2 linked regions of the Caenorhabditis elegans genome follow. The protein of the gene in region 2 interacts with the protein of the main gene of each other region in a pairwise test. Each region holds a gene or a part of one and is shown on either strand. Other genes may lie near its edges.

Region 1 (3,754 bases), on a different chromosome or scaffold from region 2:
ACAGCCTGACGCCACGTGATAAGGTAGGCATGTCAACTCACTTTCTCTCTCCATCATTTGCTTGTAATAAGTTATGTTTTGCAAGTGGTCCTCTGGCAGGATGCAACGCAGTTTGACAAGGTGTGCAGTAATAAATGTCGCATTGCTCGCAAAACACATTTGCCATTCGATTTTCACTCCCCTCGCATAGCTGACACTGTGACGATGCTTCATCGGACGATTGAGAACTTCCAGAACTTCCAGAACTTCCAGAACAAGACGGCGTTAAGAACGCCTTGTCCGGATGGGCCAGCAGATACCTTCGAATCACGTTTTGCATTGCGAGATTCGTGGGCGCGCTGACGATCGAGTTCTCATCGCAGAAATAGCTCGGCTTTTGACACGAATTACAGACAAGTTGCACGCCGCTTGTGGATGGTGTTAGGATGTTGTGTAGGCGGGATAGAGGTGGACCGATGATGCTTGACGGTCGACTGGCTGGAAAATTATCAAAGTTGAAGAAAGTAAATTCTGATCTCTGAATTTTGAACCTGAATAAATTTGAGAATCTTTCTCAATTTTGACAGGATTTTTAGAAAATATAGGAAAATTGAATAGTTTGCACTATAGTCCAGATGATCAGGCAGACACGTTTTGCCTGCCTACAGGCCCACTTGTGCCTGCCTACCGACAGGACTGTCTTCCTCCTTTCGAGTAGTTGAAAGTTTTTATCAAAAAAAATTGTTGTTTCAGATAGAAGCGCGTGAAGTGCGGTAACTGTTGTTGTTATTTTTATGCAGTTATTGCTATTTTAATGCTTTTATCTGAAACAAAAATTTTTTTGGTAGAAACTTTTAACTACAAACTTGTTTTTTACAACAATATCAACAACTTTATAGTTGATGACTTTTCTGAAAAAAATTTATCCACGGAGATATAGGCTACCAAAGTGAATTTGGAAAATTGCTTCTTTTCATCGTTACAGTGCTTCGTTATAGTGCTATTTTAGAATCTTTGAGAGCTCGCAGTGAGCTTGGTTCTGGACATTCGCAGCTCAAAATTCACGAGTAACCGTTTTAAGACATGGGCTATCGAATGGCATAGGTTTCATATGCAAGTCCGATGGGCACCTTCTGATGGTTCCCTTGTTAGATTTACACCCAACAATTTTTATATAGGTTGTAAGCCAATCTCAAGAAAATCAACTCACTTCTACCACATCCGACGACTCCAGAATCGGTCTCCGACACAACTGATAGCTTATCACTTTCATGGTCCCCATTGTCCGAAACACAAAGTGACATGGTGTCAGATGCTCCTGCAAACATTAATAATTATTAGTTTTTTTTTCCATTCGTATTCAATTAGTTTCCATTCTTCATTCAATTCTTCCCTTTTGTCGGCACCTCGGTGCCGAAATTGGATTACTCAATACCATTAACCCAATGACATATGGTGTCAACGAGTTAACCAACAAAAAACAAAAAAACCACCAATACTCACCACTACTACTACCAGCACTTTGTGGGGAGATCGGTGAGCTCGCCGAGCTCAGAATTTGTGACAAAATTCCAGGTGTCGAGGGACGTGGCGATGAAGTGGACGAGCTTCCCGACGAGGTTGACGGCTGGTGGGCTTTCAGGGCGCACATTCTGCAGAGACTGTGGCCGCAGGTAAGAATGATGGGGTCTTCGAAAAATCGAATGCATATTGTGCATTTGAGCTCTTCCTCCATTTTTGAAGGGACTGAAATTTGAGTATTGTCAGGTGGAAGTTGAAGTTGAACAAAAAAAAAGAAAAATCTCGGATCAAGAAAGAAAGTTGTTTTATATTTTGAAGTGCATGTGTGTGTGAATGTGTGCAAAGAGCCGTCGCCTACATAAACGCATAAACATATGACATGAAACGTTATGAGAAAACATATATTCAAGAAAAAAAATTCAAGAAGCTCACCGGATGAAAATTCGAAAAATTCGAAAATTTTCACTTAAAAAAATTTCAAATTTTCCAGCAGAAAAAAACATATTTTTTTTTCTTAACGGCTTACGATTAAATACTCTCCAATAATTAAAAGCCCTCAAAAATTAGGTTTAGGGCAATTTTTGAGCCCTTAATTTTTGCACTCTGGAATAGAGCTGGGCGGCATTTTTTCGGCAAACTCACAAAACTGGCTTATTTCAACATGATAATCCAAAATTTTTTGATCTAAAATTGATATGGAAATGTCGAAAAAGGTTTGTTCTTTCCGAAAATAATTTTTTTTTTTTGATGAAAAGTTTGAAACAATCCTCAAATAGTGTCTGAAAAATGCCGACAAAAACGAACTTTTAGGTACTATTTGAGCACTTTTTCAAGCTTTTCAAAAAAAATAAATGATAATATCAAATAGAACAAACATTTTTTTTTACATTTTTAAATCAATTTTAGATTCAAAAATTTGGACCACCATGTTGAAATAAGCCTAAATTTTGAAAACGAAATTTTTATAGGCCAAAGTAAAGAATTTACTTTGAGCGAGCGAAACAATGAAATAAGGTTTACAAACACCTACATTTCATAAATTTTTGAAGAAACAGAGTAGAACGGAGCAAAAATAAAAAAATAAAAACAAAAAATTCCAAATCAAAATAATTCTTCCCATACACATCCTGAAAAGAACACCCAAAATTTTTTTTCAGTCATGGGAACTTTGCGGAAGACGAGAGGACACAAAAGACGGAGAGCTAGAGGCGGAAGGGAAACGTACGCGCGCGGAGAGAAAAGTAGGCGGGGCTAAGGGATGGGGAAGGAGAGGCGGGATTGACATGGACGGGGATGCGATGAGACAAGATGGAGACAGCTTCAACTGATTGTGCAATGAATGATCGATTGGGTGATGGTAATGAGGGAAAAATGAGCAAGAAATTTCAAATTGAGAGGCTTTTCTGAATTCTTGAATTTTCTATAATTTCTGTTCGTTCTCTTCATCCCCGGGCCCAGCCTAAGCCTAAGCCCAAGCCTAGGGCTAGGCCTAAACCTAAGCCTAAGTCTAAGCCTAAGCCTAAGTCTAAGCCTAAGCCTAAGCCTAAGCCTAAAAGCCTAAGCCTAAAACTAAGCATAAGCCTAAGCCTTAGATTAAGCCTACACCAAAGCCTATGCTCACGCTCGCCACTGACGCCAAGCTTAAGCCTGAGCCTACACCTAAGCCTAAGCCTAAGCCTAAGCCTAAAACTAAGCCTAAGCCTAAGCCTTAGATTAAGCCTAAGCTTAGGTCTAAGCCTAAGCCTAAGCACAATATTGAAAGGACTTTTCCCATAGAATTTTAGCACCCAGTTAGACCACCTCTAAGTGTTGCAAAACTTTAAATTTTTGACCTTGCAGCTAGTTTATCTTCTCAAAAAGTTCTGCCAAATTTTTTCCCACAAAATCTCTGCCGAACACAAAAAGAGTAGAAGTCTCTCAGAGCACTGCTGCTGTTTAATAATTTTCTCGTTCTCGTGGTCGCAAAATGATGATGATGATGATCGGGGGGCCCTCCAACGAGCTCATTATTATTTTTGCGAAAAGATTTCAAAGAAAAACTTTTGGATTTTATCCGAGTTCTCTTCTCTATATAAAGTAGCTCGGGAAAGTCTAAGGCGCCTGTCACTGGCTTAACCCGCACCGAGAGTTGGAAGGAGGGTATAAATAAATAAACATATTCACAGAAAGGTATCAAGTTGGTGTGTCTTGGGTAGAGAGAGAGGAGATATTCACAAACCTTTATACGGAAACAATGAATAAGCTTGGAAGGGGG
Region 2 (3,754 bases):
ATTGATTTTAAATTAAAATAATCAGTACAATGTACTCAAAAACTACCTATAAAAGTTTGGCTCTTTTTGTTTATTTTGTGAAAAAATTGGGCAGAAAAATTTGTATTTGAAAGAAAAAAGACTGAGAGAACTTTTTGTAAAAGCTCAACCAGAGTATTTTGAAGTTGACTAGTTTACTTGCAAGGCAAACCAACACGAAAAAAAACGAAAAAGGAAGAAAGAAAACCCGGCACACAAGAGATTTTCTTTCATTTTTTCTTTCTTTTTCCTCCAATTTTTTGCACTACAACAATTCTCAATGTCTTCCCCGATTGCCATAAACTGCCGTCATTACACACACACACTATTCGGATTTTTTTGTTGGTATTCGTTCTCTCTCACATTTTCCTCGCTTCTCGAGGTCATAATCCTGTCTCGAACAACAACATACTAGTAGTAAGATTGGTGCTAATCGAGAAGGCACTCTTTGAGAGTACCATCTGTTTCAAGGATTGAGGGAAGAGCTTGATAAGCTCCCACTATTTCGTTTCTTTTCTCACACAACTTTACACAACCGGTCACTATTATCGTGCTATCTGCGTCTCTCCATCTCATGATCTATCCGGAAATAATGGGTGAGAAGAAGCAGGAGCACCGGGAGAGCACCGAATTTCGGAATGAGTGACACAAAACAATTGACTCATAACATATTTCAAAAACGTGATGAACTCATTTTACACTTTTCAACAATTGTCTGGGAAGGTTTGTAATCGTAATACATCAATTATTATGATTTATTTTTCTTTAGTTTGGACCTAATCAAGATTTATAGTCGTGAAAAAGAGTAGAGATCTCGGAAATTTTTTTTTTCAATTTTGGCAAAACTTTAAAGTTATATTAAATTTTTTAGTTGCTGTTTTGGTGTTAATTTTTTCTACTACTCATAGGCGAAATTTAACGATTTTTGTATCAAAATACGGTACCCGGTCTTGACACGATAAAATTTTATTTGAAGAATACTGTAATCTCTAGCATTTGGTTTTTGCGGAATTTTCATCAATTTTCATTGTTATTTATAAAAAAATTTTTCATCGGAACAATTTTACAACAAAAAAACTGTTAAACACATAAATTTAAACAAATATAGAGAAAAAAATCAATAATCAACTAAACTACAGTAATCTTTAAAGGCTCATCAAAAATTTGTAGTATCGAGACCGAATACCGTATTTTTATTGCAAATATCGCAAAACTTTGCGTCTGGGCAATATTAACAAAACAAAATTAAATTATTTGAAATTTAAAAATTTGATGAAAAAGACATTTCTCGGAACATTCGAAAAACAAAAACGTATTCTTTTCTCTATCAAATCGTACAGTTTGCACTCGTTTTCCGCATTAATCGCTTCAATGGATTACGGCGCCGGCATCTCTGCCTCTTTTTTCACAAGTTGCCGCTGCCGCCACCATGAAACTGAAAAAACTCACTTTTCCATCATAATCGCCCATAACTGATGGAGGAATTTTATGCGAATTTGACGACTCTTCTTGAATTCAAAATAATCATGTGCTTCTGAATGTCTGTGTGTGTATTGTGACGATCAGATGAGAACCCGTTTATCTGAAAAAATGACAGTTTTCAAAGAATTTTAAATTTCTTTCAAAAAAAGAGATTTGAGAAAATAAAATAGAGTGCGTATTGAAAAGAGAGAAAAAGTTGATTTTCGATTTAAATTTTCTGATGAAATATTGCTCGAAAATCATGGAAAATCACACTAAATAAGATTTTAAAAATCAAAGAAAAAATCGAGACAAAATTATTAATTATTATGGAAAAAACAAAATTTTCCAGAACATTTAAAAATAAGTGCATTACAATTTTAGAAGCTTTTCATATAGCTTAACATCTTCTTGGAACAAGTTTGGTATACAAAATATTTCAAACAATCCGGAAAAAAATGGCTTAAATCGGAAATTGGCAACATGTGGCTTGAGCTAATTTAATTCTATTTGACCCTAGTCTAAACAATCTCTTGCCAAATTTTGGTCAAAATGGTCTTGCCAATTTTTAAAACTAAATTTTAAAGTTTGTTTTAAAATGACTGACTCATTGATATTTTTGAAGAAATTCTATACTCAAGCAGCTAAAAATAGGATGGAAAAGGTCGAAACATTGCGAAACGTTATTAGATCTTCTCACTAGAATACGTACTTTTTCAGGAAGTATGCATTATTCAAATGTCTTCACTGCATAAAATAAAATAAGCAAATAAAGATGTGATGAATCTAGTCTCAATTATTAGTTGCACAACGCATTACAAATCGTTGGGTGTGAAAATGCGAAAATCGTGGAAAAGGAAGAAGAAAAGGAAGAGCTACCAAAACGAACTATTTCTCTCAAGAGGGCCCAACCATTGGGGTGGGCACCGCTCCGGGAATAGCGTACGAAAGCGGGAGACAAGCGAATTGTTATGGGAGGCTAACGGCCGTTGTAGCAGACCGCTGGTCATATGAGACAGTGCTAGTGTCCTGTAGAGACGCAGACGTAAAAAGAGAACGCAAGGGTCACTGCGCGCGCAGACGGATGTTGATGGACCGGACAGACCGCCGGGGACACAACAGGCAAAATAAGAAAGAAGACATGAAGAAGACGACGACGTGAGATGGCGGTAATGGTGGCAGGTGCAAACGATGCAGGCGACAGATGACAAGAAGTATGTTAGCAACACTTCAAATATAGATAATTCTGTTTAAATCCTTTCTTCTCCAAAATTGAATTTTTCAATTGAACTCAATAGATGCTGTTGTGAGCTCTAGAAGTTGTTGAGATGTCTTTATAATCTAATCTCTCAAATTCTTTGAAACTACTTGTATCTGAACTAGAGCATTTTAGTTCAACAGGCAAAACAGATCAAAATTTAATGCAAAAATATATAACAAATAATTTATTAATCAGAAAATAATTTTCATTTAAGTTTGAAAATGTGAAAATATGATTAAAAATTGCATGAAAGTTGCCAATTGCTGGAAAAAAGTGTCAATAATTTGTCTGATTTATTCCAGCAATTTTCACCTTTCAGACAACTTTTAAGGATTTTTTTTCAACTAAAAAATTATTTTCAGATCAATCAATCCTATATTTTGACACTAAATTTTAATGAAAAATATCAGACCAACATGCCACATCAGGCCATTTTGTAGAATTGTCGAAAAAATTTAACGTACACCTCTGATCTGAACAATCAGTTTTTAGTGTCGGTGGAACACCGTAAAACAAAATCCTAGGAAATTTTAAATGAACTAAATTGAACTAAATGACCAAAAATTGAACTAAATGACCGCTATCGCCCTAATATCAAAAATAATATCAATTCCACTCAATCCTACAGTAACAAGTCAACATCAGAGATATTCTCGAGACACATGGTGAAGATTGGATTTCCCAGAGGATTATACCACCACATGTCTCTTCAGCCAAACAGTATACGATGACCGTTCAAGCGGAAATCATAAAACAAAAGGGATCGACACTTGACAGTTACTATCATTGGAATATTATTACCCCCGTTCAGTGAAGTTGTCACGTGGTGCATTGTGGTACTAATTTTTAAAGGTAGTAACCGACAATTTTTTGATGTTTTTTGATATTAAAAATGACGCAAAGATAACGAGTTTCATAACTACATAGATTTTTCAATAATGCTTACAAATGTTTTATGGCGGCTCAAAGTTAAGGATATTATTAGTGAGAGAAAATTTATGTAGAAACAATGTG

The links. Proteins that work in one complex are often made in the same cells at the same time.
Region 1: the proteins of unc-73 (region 2) and madd-2 interact in a two-hybrid assay, tested with the Caenorhabditis elegans proteins (one study listed by BioGRID).

The regions. Positions count from the first base shown.
Region 1 is NC_003283.11:1,233,721-1,237,474, forward strand, and holds the start of madd-2 (E3 ubiquitin-protein ligase TRIM9), read right to left. Parts: upstream 1,726-3,754; 5' UTR 1,715-1,725; coding exon 1,483-1,714; intron 1,298-1,482; coding exon 1,190-1,297; intron 478-1,189; coding exon 42-477; intron 1-41.
Region 2 is NC_003279.8:4,030,140-4,033,893, forward strand, and holds the start of unc-73 (CRAL-TRIO domain-containing protein), read right to left. Parts: upstream 1,601-3,754; 5' UTR 1,489-1,600; coding exon 1,468-1,488; intron 1-1,467.